Callithrix jacchus: one gene and its partners. The protein of the gene in region 1 purifies or fractionates together with the protein of each later gene. This does not show direct contact. Links are inferred from orthologs where the notes say so. Each region holds a gene or a part of one and is shown in the gene's direction. Other genes may lie near its edges.

Region 1 (4,757 bases):
GCCACTTGCTGCTGCAGGGGTTGCCCTGACCCTGTGCCTACCCCTTCTCTCTGCCAGGAGCTGGTGTCCGACGCCAACCAACATGTCAAGTCAGCCCTGGCCTCTGTCATCATGGGCCTCTCTCCCATCCTGGGCAAAGACAACACCATCGAGCACCTCTTGCCCCTCTTCCTGGCTCAGCTGAAGGATGAGGTAAGGGTGCCAGGATCTCAGCTCTGGGTTTGTGGAGGGGACAGGTGAAGAGCCTTGCCCTGGGGCTGGACAGACATCCAGATCTTTGCTGAGTTGCATGTTTGCGGGCATAGCTGTGTGTTCATGCATGCATACCTCCAGGCACTCTGCATGAGTCCTTTCCTCGGCATTAAGGATATGAAAAATAAAGTTGTAATTTAAAAAAAATTTTGTTTATGGCCGGGCATGGTCACTTATGCCTGTAATCCCAGCACTATGGGAGGCCAAGGTGGTAGATCACCTGAGGTCAGGAATTTGAGACCAGCCTGGCCAACATGTTGAAACTCTGTCTCTACTAAAAATGCAAAAATTAGCTAGGTGTGGTGGTGGATTCCTGTAATCTCAGCTACTTGGGAGGCTGAGGCAGGAGACTCACTTGAACTCAGGAGGCAGAGGTTGCAATGAGCCAGTTTCACACCACTGCACTCCAGCCTGGATTTCAGAGCAATATTCTGTCTCTGAAAAAAAAATAATTATTATTATTTATGTTTTGAGATAAGGTCTTGCTCTGTTGTCCACACTGTACTGCAGTGGTGTGGTCGTGGTCCACTGCAGCCTTCACCTTCCAGGCTCAAGTGATCCTCCCATCTTAGCCTCCCAAGTAGCTGGGACTACCTACAGGCAAGAGCCACCATGCTTAGATAATTTTTAAAAAATTTTCTGGCCAGGTGTGGTGGCTCACGCCTGTAATCCAAGTGCTTTGGAGGCCAAGGCGGGCGGATCACCTGAGGTCAGGAGTTCAAGACCAGCCTGACCAAGATGGTGAAACCCCATCTTAAAAAAGTAATAAGATAAAATAAAGATAATTAAAAAAAATTTTTTTTTTGCTCTAGAGACAGGGGTCTTGCTGTGTTGATCAGGTTGGTCTTGGTATCTCGTTCTCAAGCAATTCTCCTTCCTTGGCTTCCAAAGGCCTGGGATTACAAGTGTGAAGTGCCACGCCCAGCCTAAAATAAGACAGTTTTGATCCTCAAAAGCCTTCAGAGACTGGCAGCAGAGACGTACAGGCAATCCCATGATGCCCTTAAGGTGTTAAAGGTGCTGTTACAGTTGAGTTCATGTTTTTTAGGGTTTAGGCTAAGGTGTTGTAATGGAGACCCCAGAATACCTTCTGGCTTAAATTAGATGGAGGATTTTTTTTTCTCTCATAGCAGTCTAGGCGGGCCTACACTGGTGGGTTTGCCCTGCTGACCTCAACTGTCTCAGAGTCTCAGGCAACTGCTCCAGTTTTTAGCATCTTAGCCGGCATGGAGGGGTCAGGCACAGACAACAGCAGACCCAGTTCTCTGAAGGACAAGATTCCCCACGCGTGCTTGTACCCCATACACCCATTGGCCAGGGAGGGTCACATGATCACATCTAGCAGTTCAGGTTACCTGGATTACAGAGGATGAGGGGAGGTGCTGGGTAATGACTAGAGAGATCATTGGGGTGACCACTGGGGAAGGAATTTGGACTTGACTCTGGGCAAGTGCAGGAGCCAGAATACAGTTGGTATTAGAAGGCACCCTAAGGCTTATGTAAAGGGAAGGTTAAAGTGAGGTGGCCAGCAGAAATGTAGGAAGACCAAACCAGAGGCTGCTGTGGGAGTCTGGAAGACTGAGGCTAGATTGAGGGTATGTAGAGAAAAGGCTGCAGTGATATGGAAGGATTCAAGATTGTTCGGGAGGTAGAGGGACCACATGGTGGTTTTTGCCTTGGTAGTGAAAAACTGGGCAGATGGTGCAATCGTTTGCTGGTATATGACGTCTTGGTTCCCAAAGGCCTCAATCCTTGGCTCTTCCCCATCCCCTTCTTTTCTGTACACAGGCGTGCTAGGAAGTTGGAGGAAATACTGTAACAGAAAGTATCACATTTCAGTCCCCCATGCCCCAAAAAGTTACGTTGTTCATTTACGCTACAGTGGAATAATCTCTTAGCCCCAGAATTAGTCAATTTTTTGATACATTGAAAAGAATGTGCGACAGGGCTGGTGGCTCATGCCTATAATCCAAGCACTTTGGAGGTCAAGGTGGGCAGAACACCTGAGGTCAGGAGTTCAAGACCACCTGGGGCAGATCACCTGAGGTCAGGAGTTCAAGACCAGCCTGACCAACATGGTGAAACCCCATCTTAAAAAAAAACGAAAAATGAAAAGAATGTGCTATTTTAAATATATTTTTTGTTCTGGGTTATTCCCTATTAATGGGTTATTAACAATGTGGGGTTTTTTTGTTTTTTTTTTTGTTTTTTTTTTTTTGAGAGGGCGTTTCGCTCTTGTTATCCAGGCTGGAGTGCAATGGCGCGATCTCGGCTCACTGCAACCTCAGCCTCCTGGGTTCAGGCAATTCTCCTGCCTCAGCCTCTGGAGTAGCTGGGATTACAGGCACGCGCCACCATGCCCAGCTAATTTTTTGTATTTTTAGTAGAGACGAGGTTTCACCATGTTGGCCAGGATGGTCTCGATCTCTTGACCTCGTGATCCACCCGCCTCGGCCTCCAAAAGTGCTGGGATTACAGGCTTGAGCCACCACACCTGGCATGTTTTTTGTTTTTTTGAGATGGAGTTCTTATTGCCCAGACTGTAGTGCAATGGCATGATCTTGGCTTGCCACAACCCCCACCTCTCGCTTGCAATCTATTCTCCATCCGCAGCCTCCTCAGTAGCTGGGATTACAGGCATGTGCCACCACGCCTGGCTAATTTTGTATTTTTATTAGAGACAGGATTTCTTCATGTTGGTCAGGCTGGTCTTGAACTCTTGACCTTAGGTGATCCGCCCGCCTCAGCCATGGCCCCGGCCCAAAGTGCTGGGATTACAGGCATGAGCCACCGCACCCATCCTACAGTATAGTATTTTTAATCAGTTATTTACATCAGTTGCTAAAAGTTTAAATCATCATTAATGTTCATGACAAATTTTATGACTTAAGTAATATATCTGAGTTATGCTTCACATGCACATATTTTCTTTTATAATCTTTTATAGATGTTATATATACAATTTTTATTTATTTTGATGCTTTAATGGCATAAGTTGGTAGGTGAGAGCCCCTCAAGTTGTCTGCTATGCCATTTCACACCTCTCCAGAGTTTTCGAGAGCATTTTGCCTCTGGCATCGGGAAGGATCCAGGCTCAGCCCAGTGTGAAGGCAAGCCCATACATGCTGCAAGTACACTAGAATTGAAGCATTTTTTGCTCTAGTTTCACCTTCAGCAAGCACGACATGGTAATCACATGCTGGCAGCCAGCCTGTCTCAGGGCAACTTCTTACAGAGAAAAAAAGAACCAGCATGGTTTTCTTAGTGTGAGGAATTCATCTGACTTGTATTTGGGACTTCCATTTTAGATTTATGAATTTTGTATTTCACATTTTGACTCTCACCAGAATTTATAAACTTGTCTAAATGAAAAAGTCTACTTTTTTCTTGGTGCACCAAAAAGAAGTCTTTTTAAATGGGTAAGGTGTATTCTCTGAACCTTCTCTTCTCATGCACTGAGCGCCTTGAGGCCACGCACCCAGGACAGGAGCTGGGCAAGGGCCAGTCCTATCTTCGGAATGTGCAGGGTTTGAACAGGCCAGGCCTGCCAGCCTTGTTACTTGGTTTATTGATTCATTTCAGTGCTCACTCATTTCTTTAGACTAGAATAGTTTTAATAAGGAAATAGTTTTCTTCCCTTCCCTCTCCCATGTTGTGGATTGATATCCAAAAATGAACCCTTGTTAAAAAGCAGCAGAGCTAGGATTAGAAGAAGCACGTCTGCCTTTTTTTTCCAGGGTGCTGTATTTAAGTCCTTTCAAAATGGATAAACATTTCTTGTGAGACTATTGTAAGGTTTAAAAATCTACTTACCTCAGTGATCCATGCTGCTGCTTTTTGTGTGCCTTTATTGTGTCCCCAGGACTGGGAGCTGGGCTTGGGCAGGTGTAGGGCCTCAGGAGATGTCCATTATACCAAGTTGATGCAGCTGAGCTCTTTCCACCCTGTCCTGGGTTGCTGGGTGCATGGCATTCTCTCAGAATCCTTCTTTCCTCTCCTCAGTGCCCTGAGGTACGGCTGAACATCATCTCCAACCTGGACTGTGTGAACGAGGTGATTGGCATCCGACAGCTGTCCCAGTCCCTGCTCCCTGCCATTGTGGAGCTGGCTGAGGATGCCAAGTGGCGGGTGCGGCTGGCCATCATTGAGTACATGCCCCTGCTGGCTGGACAGCTGGTGAGTAAGGAGGCCTGGGACCAGGCAGTGCTGCCTCAGGGGAGGTACAGTTTGTCCAGGGATGTGATGGGGAAACGGGGGGGCTTTGAAGGCTTAGTGGAGGCTATGACAACTGCCTGGGGAGTCAAAGGAAGGGACCCAGGAAATAGGGCCTTAAAAGGTAAATTGGATTCAATAAGAGAGAGGAGGAAAAGGAGCAGCTCTCCCTGTCTGCTCTCCCTGGAACCCTTACCTTGGTTTCTCTTGTAGGGAGTGGAGTTCTTTGATGAGAAACTTAACTCTTTGTGCATGGCCTGGCTTGTGGATCATGGTGAGTACCTCCATAGGAG
Region 2 (4,757 bases), on another chromosome or scaffold:
CCTGGTCCCAAGGGAGTGCCATTATTCGATTTGAAAACCATTGGTTGATTAGTTAATTGGTTGGGGTGGTTTGTTGGTTAATCGATTGAGTGGTTTGGTTGGGGTAGGTGGGTGTGTTGGTTGGTTGGTTAATAGGTTGGGTGGTTGGTTAATCGGTTGGGTGGTTGGTTGAGTGGTTTGGTTGGGGTAGGTGGGTGTGTTGGTTGGTTGGTTAATAGGTTGGGTGGTTGGTTAATCGGTTGGGTGGTTGGTTGAGTGGTTTGGTTGGGGTAGGTGGGTGGGTTGGTTGGTTGGTTAATAGGTTGGGTGGTTGGTTAATCGGTTGGGTGGTTGGTTGAGTGGTTTGGTTGGGGTAGGTGGGTGGGTTGGTTGGTTGGTTAATAGGTTGGGTGGTTGGTTAATCGGTTGGGTGGTTGGTTGAGTGGTTTGGTTGGGGTAGGTGAGTGGGTTGGTTGGTTGGTTAATAGGTTGGGTGGTTGGTTAATCAGTTGGGTGGTTGGTTGAGTGATTTGGTTGGGGTGGGTGGGTGGGTTGGTTAGTTGGTTAATGGTTGGGTGGGTGGTTGGGGTGGTTGGTTGGCTGGCTTTTAATGAGATTTCAGCCCCATTACACTATTGTTTATCAAGTGAAGACCGAGTGAGCAAGCCCATTCCACATTAGTCTTTGGAAGTGCCACACAGAAGGCCGCTGCTAACACACGTGCCCCTAGGAATGATGCTGGGTCTGTTCTGGTGCCATTTCTCCAGCTTTGCTGTGCAGGGCGGGTGCACCTGGGGTTAGGCACTCTCCAGGAGGAGTGTCCTCAGACCTGTCACATCCATACTACCGCTGTATTTCCTGAGTTCATCAAAGCTGGGAAGGGCTGTGGCATTTGCTGAAAATCTAGCTTATAGGGTCCTAATTTGAACCAGGATGTTTTCATCTAAATTGTGGGTGACGTCTGTCACACAGGACCGCTGCTCTTGCGTCCGTGGATTAGTGTATATTGTTCTTAGTGATAGTGACAGTAGCTATGCAGTTCCATCATGAAACTGCTAATCCTAAATGAGAAGTGAGATAGACACCCCGAGGGCGGGCACTGATTCTAAACTGGAAGTGATGGGACCCCAAGGGCGGGCACTGATTCTAAACTGGAAGTGATGGGACCCTGAGGGTGGGCACTGATTCTAAACTGGAAGTGATGGGACCCCGAGGGCGGGCACTGATTCTAAACTGGAGGTAGGTGATGGGACCCCGAGGGCGGGCACTGATTCTAAACTGGTAGTGATGGGACCCCAAGGGCGGGCACTGATTCTAAACTGGAGGTAGGTGATGGGACCCTGAGGGTGGGCACTGATTCTAAACTGGAAGTGATGGGACCCCGAGGGCAGGCACTGATTCTAAACTGGTAGTGATGGGACCCCAAGGGCGGGCACTGATTCTAAACTGGTAGTGATGGGACCCCGAGGGCGGGCACTGATTCTAAACTGGAAGTGATGGGACCCCAAGGGCGGGCACTTGACCTGCTCCAGCCTTGTCCATCTCTGCAGCCAGCAGCACCTCCCACCATCTCCCACGGGGTACATGTGCACAACCCACCCTCAGAAACCCCTGTTCCTCCTGATGGGACCCCGCCACCACCCTCAAGCTCACGTGCTTGTTTTGAGAAAACAGTAGGCCTTTATTAGGCCCAGTCTTGGTTTTATTTAAGGCTGCTTTTGTAGGTTTCGCCTAAATAAAACAGGTATAATAGGTGGCCCTACTGAAGGCATGTGAGAAGTGTAGTTATTTCATTAGTCAGTACTCGGAGAAGAGACCACAGACTACATAATTCTCTACATTGACTTAGGTCAGTATTTGAGATCTTACAGTTCAGAGTGGGCTGTTAATGCATTCTAACCCTAACTGGGGAAGAGTCAGAAATGTTGCTGCTTTTAAATTTTTTGTCTAAATCATTTTAGTGCCAGGAAAGGGATGTAATTAAAAGAAGGAGTCTTGGCCAGGCGCGGGGGCTCATACCTGTAATCCCAGCACTTTGTGAGGCTGAGATGGGAGGGTCACTTGAGCCCCGAAGTTCAAGACCAGCCTGGGCAACATAGCAAGACCCCATCTCTAAAAATGAAAACATATTATTTTGTATGTAAATGAAATTTTTTTTAAATAAAGGAAGGAATCTTTGTAAGTATCGTGTGTTTTGATTAATTGGAGGTTTGTTAGAGGATTGTGGCAGGTGTGTGTTTTTAAGCCTGGTAGACCTGACCCTTTCTCTAGAGACTCGAAGGGTGTGGTCAGCACTAACTGTGTTAAAATCAGGGAAGTCTCACTGTACATACTGTTTCAAGTTTATTTTCTATAAAATCAGCCAGACAAGACTCAGCTGAGAGATTTTTTTCCCCTAAGCTTTCACGGTTCTTCCTTTTGGTTTCTAATTACAAGAATAACTAAAGATCCTATCATTAATTTTTTTGTTTTGATTTTAAAGCTTATGCTTTTCTTCCAGCTGGATGTTAGTGAGATGCAGGCCCTTTTCCTTTTTTCACGTGTGATGCTATTCCTCGTGCCTGAGCTCTCGCCTCTGACCACAGGCGCCCTCCGGCCAGCACCCTCTTCTCTGTCCTTTCCATTTCAGTGTGATTGGAAATGGACTTTCCCAGCACTCAACACAGAAATGGGTACGGGAGGTACCTTTTACTTGTTTTAACCACAAATGAAGTATAATATATAATACATACCCCATAATAATACATGTGCCCCATAAGTGACCAGCTCCATTTGACTGGACATGCCCATATAGCCAGCCCCAGACTGAGACATGGAACATCCTCAGCTCCCCAGGGCCCTCCTGTGCACCCTCCTGTGCAGTCCCTGGAGCCGGCAGAGGCTTGTGGGGTTTGCTCCGAGAAGCATACTCCTGGTGCAGTGAGGGAGGGTTTGTGCATCCGGCTGCAAGGAGAGGACAAAGGGAGGGGAAGACTTTGCTGTCCAGCGTCTCAGTGTGGCCACTGGAGGACACACGAGAGGGAGCGAGCGCAGGCCTCAGCGCCCGGGCAGCTTGTTAGCCTGCCAGCTTTTTATTCAGCAGGAACATGTCAGCCTCAGCAATGGAAGCAAGGGGGAAGACTTGGAATAGAGTATTCCATTTTGTAGCCTATTTTCATAACTGCTAAGTGGTTACTTAGAGGTATTGCCTGTACGCAGTTCTTACTTAGCCATGGACGCAAACTTGTCCTCCTCTGTTATCTACTGTAAGTGTTTTAATTCTATGCCACTGCGATCTTTGTTTTGAATTCCTGTTTCCTTCCATTTTTAGGTCCCAATATTGAAGCCCATGGATCTAATGGTAGAAGCGAGTCCACGGCGAATTTTTGCAAATGCTCACACATATCATATAAATTCCATTTCAGTAAATAGTGATCATGAAACGTATCTTTCTGCAGATGACCTGAGAATTAATTTATGGCACTTAGAAATCACAGATAGAAGCTTTAGTATCCTTCCTCAGAGGGACACTGGCATCTTCCTTGAGGCTGCTCTTTAGATGGTGATTTCTCTTGTTCTTTACACGCCTGTATCTGAGTCTAGTCTCGTAAATGTCATTGCTGCACAGTGGCCTGCGATGTAAGTTCTCTGTGAATTGAAACATTTGTTCCTAAAAATACGGATTTCCTTCTACGTTTGGAAACAGTTCTCTGAAGTCCACTGCCTGCCTGGTTTAATCAGAGATAGTTTTAAATAGGCTGCATTTGAAAAACCAACATTACTTGTTCTTTTTTTATTTATTTTTTTTCCTGAATTTGCTGATGGATGATAGAAAATATTGGCTTAGGTTAGAGTGGCATTTAATCACCCATCTGAGCAGCAGCTTCCGGGAGAACCCGTGTTCTCCTGAGGCTGTGCATGGTCTGGGGGTCCTCGCCATCCTCACGTGGGCTCCTTTCTAGCTAGCAGCCAGGGAGCAGGGGGCATGTTTTGTCTGCAGCCTCTCCCGGGGCCCTGCCATCCAATGCGTCCCTCTGCTGTCCCGTGGCTTGAGCTGGGGTTCCACATCGTGTGTTGATTTTCTTAGTAGTTTCAGCTAAAAGGGTGAGGCTGGCCCTGCTGTCTGAATTGGCCCACCGCTGAATTCTGCCCTGTATTTTTCTCAGTTGGAGGATTTCTGTATAGGGTAGCCTGCTATGTTGCCTTTGCTCTAACTACACAGAACAAGCTCTTAATGTCAGGTCATTAGAAAAGCAGCGTCTTTTGGAATTCGGCGGTATTCTTGTGTCTGTAATTACGTGTGGGAGTGTGGGATTCTCCCCGGTGGTGCTCGCTTGCTTTTCCTGTCTACATGATTAAGAAGTATGTACTGTCTTGCCATCAGAGGGTTTCCGTAGAACATTAATAACTGCAGCGGGATGAAAGCGGTATTCGCGTGTCTGCGTCTCCCCCAGGTCGGGGTGTTGCTGTAGTCTGGTGAGGATGCTCATCCCAATCCTCTTAGCATGAGCTCCTCTGGAGTTCAGGAGGTGTCATCGGCCTTCTTTATAGCTAATCTCCTAAACCTCACTGGGCGGATTCCTTTGCGTCCTGTTTCATGGGACTGCACTGACTAATTAACAGTCAGCTGAGCTGAGCTGAGCACTGAGCACTGTCCTTAACCACGCGCTCCAGACATCGTGGACATCAAGCCTGCGAACATGGAGGAGCTGACGGAAGTCATCACTGCTGCCGAGTTCCACCCGCACCAGTGCAACGTGTTTGTCTACAGCAGCAGCAAAGGCACCATCCGGCTCTGC
Region 3 (4,757 bases), about 2.7 Mb from region 1:
CGGGGTGGCTCCTCCTCTCTCAGATTTAGTTTCCTCACCTGTGAAAGGAGATGTGTGATTCTCAGAGGGTGAGCGTGTGGCACAGAGTAGGCGCTCCATGTCTGCTCGTCATCACTTTGTTACCTCTGGGTCCTTCTCTGGTGCCTCGAAATTAATTTTTTTGTTTTGTGGGGGAAAGAGTTTTGCTCCATATCCCAGGCTGGAGTGCAGTGGCATGATCTCAGCTCACTGTAACCTCTGCCTCCTGGGTTCAAGTGATTCGCCTGCCTCAGCCTCCTGAATAGCTGGGATTACAGGCGGGTGTCACCATGCCCAGCTAATTTTTATATTTTTAGTAAAGACGGGTTTCACTGTGTTGGCCAGGACGGTCTTAATCTCTTGACCTCGTGATACGCCCACTTCAGCCTCCCAAAGTGCTGGGATTACAGGAGTGAGCCACCATGCGCCCAGACTGTTTTTTTTTTTTTTTTTTTTTGAGATGGAGTCTAGTTCTGTCGCCCAGGCCGGAGTGCAGTGGTGCGATCTTAGCTCACTGTAACCTCACTGTAACCTCTGTCTCCCAGTTCAGGTGATTCTCCTGCCTTAGCCTCCTGAGTAGCTGGGACTACAGGTGTGCCCCACCACTCCTGGCTAGTTTTTGCTTTGTTTCTTTCTTTCTTTGTATCTTTAATAGAAAGGGGGTTTCACCATATTGGCCAGGCTAGTCTCGAACCCCTGACCTCAAGTGATCTGCTCACATCAGCCTCCCAAAGTACTGGGATTACAGGTGTGAGCCACGTCGTCCAGCCTCTAGATGGAATCTTTTGTGGTTATTTCACCCCTTCCTGGCTTAGGACACTTTATCCTAAACCCGGTGACCCTAGGGAGCTTCTGGGATATTCAGAACTGGATCTTTATTTATTTATTTATTTATGTATTGAGATGGAGTCTCGCTCTGGAGTGCATGGTGCGATCTTGGCTCACTGCAACCTCCACCTCCCAGGTTCAAGTGATTCTCCTGCCTCAGCCTTCGGAGTCCCTGAGATTACAGGCGTTTGCCACAATGCCCGGCTTAGTAGAGCCAAGCTTTCACCATCTTGGCCAGGATGGTCTCAATCCCTTGACCTTGTGATCCACCCACCTCGGGCTTCCAAAGTGCTGTGATTACAGGTGTGCGCCACCGCGCCTGGCGGGACCTGGATTCTTGACGGCAGTGGATGAGGACTAGGACTAGCCTGGGCAACATAGCGAGATCCAGTCTCTATTAAAAAAAAAAAAAAAAATTAGCCGCGTGTGGTGGCAGGTGTTTGTAGTCCCAGCCACTAGGGAGGCCGAGGCATGAGAATCGCTTGAGCTTGGGAGGTGGACGTTGCAGTGAGCGGAGATGGTACCACTGCACTCCAGCCAGGGTGATAAGTGAGACTATCAAAATCCAGCCAGGATGATAGAGCTACACTGTCCACAACAACAACAAAAGAGGCCAGGCGCGGTGGCTCATGCCTGTAATCGCGGCACTTTGGGAGGCCGAGTTGGGTGGATCACTTGAGGTCAGGAGTTCAAGCCTGGCCAACATGGTGAAACTCTGTCTCTGCTAAAAAAAAAAAATACCAAAATTAGCCAGGTATGGTGGCATTCCCCTGTAGTTTCAGATACTCGGGAGGCTGAGGCAGGAGAATTGCCTGAAACCGCTAGGTAGAGGTTGCAGTAAGCCGAGACCGCGCCACTGGACTCCAGCCTGGGTGACAGAGCAAGACTCCCTCTCAAAAAAAAAAAAAAAAAAAAAAAAAAAAAAAAAGGGCCAGCGTAGTGGCTCACGCCTGTAATCCCAGCACTTTGGGAGGCCGAGGTGGGTGGATCACTTGAGGTCAGGAGTTCGAGACCAGCCTAGCCAACATGGTGAAACCCCATATTAAAGAAAAGAAAAAACGAAAAGAGAGACTTCATGTGGGATTTTAAGCCTGGATAGCCGCGGGGGCTGTTGGGAAATGTAGCATGTAGCCCACCACATGGACTACCAGATTGAGGATCCATCTCTCATGAGATCTTGGAGCACCTCTTTTGGGGTTCTAAGCCTTTGCTAACCTGGTAGCTCTTGGGAGGTGTTGCCTTCTAGGTAAAAGGGATCCTTATTTCTCAGAAGACCCCGGGACACTGGTCTTTGATTCTAAGTCTGTACTGCTCCAGAAATTAGTGAGAAATCTAAGGCCCGGGTTTTGAGGAGACGGCTGGAGTGGAGACTTCACATCCCACGGGTCTCAGACCCTGTAAACCTGGAGGATCCGAGCCTGCAGTGCCCTGGAAGCTCATGGCAGGTGTAGCACCAGCATTTTAGCTCGCAGGTGGTGGCAGGGACTGAAGATGGGCTAGTCCTGGGAGCTCTTAGCAGGTGTATTACCACCATTCTGACTCCTGTGTCAGGGCACTTGGTTTTCCAGGGCACCGCAGAGTGCCTTGTCTGCTCCCCTAGGGGCTGACAGTCCACACGGCCTTTTGCCACCTCCACCTCTGCAGGCGCTGGCTCAGCGGGAAGATATGGAGGAGCGGATCACGACGCTGGAGAAGCGCTATCTGAGTGCCCAGCGCGAGGCCACGTCTCTGCACGACGCCAACGACAAACTGGAGAACGAGTTGGCCAGCAAGGAGTCACTGTACCGGCAGGTGGGGGCTCAACCCGGGAGGGGCGATGGGGTCGTCGCCGGGGCCCAAGTGACCCAGCCTGTCCTCTCCCCGCCTCTCCCTCCCTCAGAGTGAAGAGAAGAGCCGTCAGCTGGCCGAGTGGTTGGACGACGCCAAGCAGAAACTGCAGCAGACGCTGCAGAAGGCGGAGACCTTGCCGGAGATAGAGGCGCAGCTGGCACAGCGCGTGGCGGCGCTCAACAAGGTGTGGGGACGACTCGGGTTGGGGATGGGGCGGGGTCTTGCATGGGGGGAGGGGTGGGGCCCAGAGGAGGCGGGATGGTGAATCTGGAAGGTAGGAGCCAGGTCCGAAGCCTGAATTTGGGGGAAGAGGTGGGGCCCAGGGGGCTGGGAAAGGGACAGAACTTAGAATGGGGAGAGCCTGGATGATTGCACGGGGGACAGATGAGAGCCGGGTTCTCTAACCTGGACTGAAAGGACTGGTGGCCTGGGACCTGAGAGGGAAGGACCAGGTCCTGAAAAAGTGGACTAGACGTAGGTGGGGCCTGAATCAGCGGTGCAGGGGAGGAGCCTGGTGCTTTGGGGGCGTGGCCTGGTGTCCATCCTTGGAGGAGGTGGGGCTCAGAGCCTGACTGATCCTGGAAGGGTAAAGTCACAGGCCATGGGTTCCATCCTCTAGGCCGAGGAACGTCATGGGAATTTCGAGGAGCGGCTTCGGCAGCTGGAGGCCCAGTTGGAAGAGAAGAATCAGGAGCTGCAGCGGGTGAGAGGGCAGAGGGCTGCATAGAGGGTGGGGCTTCGAGCCTGGGGCGGAGCTTAGTGGGGGTTGGGCATGGCCAGGGCGGGGCTTAGAACAAGGGCGGTGCTCTGGGCGGGGTGGGCTTGAGCACCCCCGACCCGCTCTGCTATTCAGGCCAGGCAGCGGGAGAAGATGAATGATGACCACAATAAGCGGCTGTCCGAGACGGTGGACAAGCTGCTGAGCGAGTCCAACGAGCGCTTACAGCTTCATCTCAAGGAGCGCATGGGGGCGCTGGAGGAGAAGGTGCGTCCCAACCCAGGACTGTGGGGACTCGGAATTCTGGGAATACCTGTCGGTGGAATCCTGGGTCCTCAGGCCTTTCCCCCAGATCTATTATTGGAGGCCTCCCTAAACCCCAGCATTTTGAGTTGGGCAGGCTTCTGTGCTCTATTGCGCAGACCGCTTTTTCACCTATTCTAGACGTTCCAAGAGCCGAATTCTGCGGATCATGCCTTGAGTCCTTGACTTTTTCCAAAGCCTCCAACCCCATGGGCCCCCAACCCTGAACCCTCTGAGATTGCACAGGATGTCCCATCCTGAGGCTCCTCTTCCCAGAAACATTGTTGCCCCTGCTCGCCTGAAACTCACCATTTGTGTCCATCTCATTCCTCCTGGGTCCCCTCAGGCCTATCTGTGCTCATTGGGAGCTGCCTGCAGCTCCAAGGGCGTGCCCCCCTCAGGCCCCACCTCCTCACTTCACCTCTGTCCCCACAGAACTCTCTGAGCGAGGAGATTGCCAACATGAAGAAACTTCAGGATGAGCTGCTTCTAAACAAGGTAGGGTGCCCCGGGGGAACAGCAGGAGGATGTAGGGCAGGGGTTGCCGAGGCTATGGTCCACAAGGCTGGCAGGGGCTGTTCCTCCCGGGTGGAGCAGATGCTAACCCGACACCTCCAACCCCGACCCCCAGGAGCAGCTCTTGGCCGAAATGGAGCGGATGCAAATGGAGATCGACCAGCTGCGAGGGAGGCCGCCATCCTCCTACTCCAGGTGACAGCAGCCCTCCTGTCCTGCCTCTGCCACTGAGCCCTGTTGGCCAAGCTCCTCCCTTCTGATCCCCACTTCCTGTCCTCCCAAGACTTCCACTGACCCCTCTTTTTTTTTTTTTCCTGGACACAAAGTCTTACTCTGTCACCTAGGTTGGAGTGCAGTGGCACCATCCTGGCTCACTGCAACCTCTACCTCCCAGATTCAAGCGATTCTCATGCCTCAGCCTCCCAGGTACCTGGGACTACAGGCATGCGTCATCACAGCTGGCTAATTTTTGTAGTTTTAGTAGAGATGGGGTTTCGCCATGTTGGCCAGGCTGCTCTGGAACCCCCAACCTCAAGTCATTCTC

Evidence for each region.
Region 2: the proteins of PPP2R1A (region 1) and PPP2R2D purify together in Homo sapiens (affinity purification with mass spectrometry; 9 studies listed by BioGRID and IntAct, counting the BioPlex papers as one, with this or other methods). This does not show direct contact. The link is inferred for Callithrix jacchus from reciprocal best matches to the Homo sapiens genes PPP2R1A and PPP2R2D.
Region 3: the proteins of PPP2R1A (region 1) and PPFIA3 purify together in Homo sapiens (affinity purification with mass spectrometry; 4 studies listed by BioGRID and IntAct, with this or other methods). This does not show direct contact. The link is inferred for Callithrix jacchus from reciprocal best matches to the Homo sapiens genes PPP2R1A and PPFIA3.

Annotation. Positions count from the first base shown.
Region 1 is NC_133523.1:45,599,714-45,604,470, forward strand, and holds part of PPP2R1A (serine/threonine-protein phosphatase 2A 65 kDa regulatory subunit A alpha isoform), read left to right. Parts: intron 1-57; coding exon 58-192; intron 193-4,254; coding exon 4,255-4,428; intron 4,429-4,677; coding exon 4,678-4,738; intron 4,739-4,757. UniProt on the Homo sapiens protein: The PR65 subunit of protein phosphatase 2A serves as a scaffolding molecule to coordinate the assembly of the catalytic subunit and a variable regulatory B subunit.
Region 2 is NC_133513.1:125,246,628-125,251,384, forward strand, and holds part of PPP2R2D (serine/threonine-protein phosphatase 2A 55 kDa regulatory subunit B delta isoform), read left to right. Parts: intron 1-2,479; exon of another isoform or gene 2,480-2,651; intron 2,652-3,289; coding exon 3,290-3,467; intron 3,468-4,632; coding exon 4,633-4,757. UniProt on the Homo sapiens protein: Substrate-recognition subunit of protein phosphatase 2A (PP2A) that plays a key role in cell cycle by controlling mitosis entry and exit. Involved in chromosome clustering during late mitosis by mediating dephosphorylation of MKI67.
Region 3 is NC_133523.1:42,942,203-42,946,959, forward strand, and holds part of PPFIA3 (liprin-alpha-3), read left to right. Parts: intron 1-2,490; coding exon 2,491-2,637; intron 2,638-2,725; coding exon 2,726-2,860; intron 2,861-3,295; coding exon 3,296-3,379; intron 3,380-3,529; coding exon 3,530-3,661; intron 3,662-4,132; coding exon 4,133-4,195; intron 4,196-4,328; coding exon 4,329-4,408; intron 4,409-4,757. UniProt on the Homo sapiens protein: May regulate the disassembly of focal adhesions. May localize receptor-like tyrosine phosphatases type 2A at specific sites on the plasma membrane, possibly regulating their interaction with the extracellular environment and their association with substrates.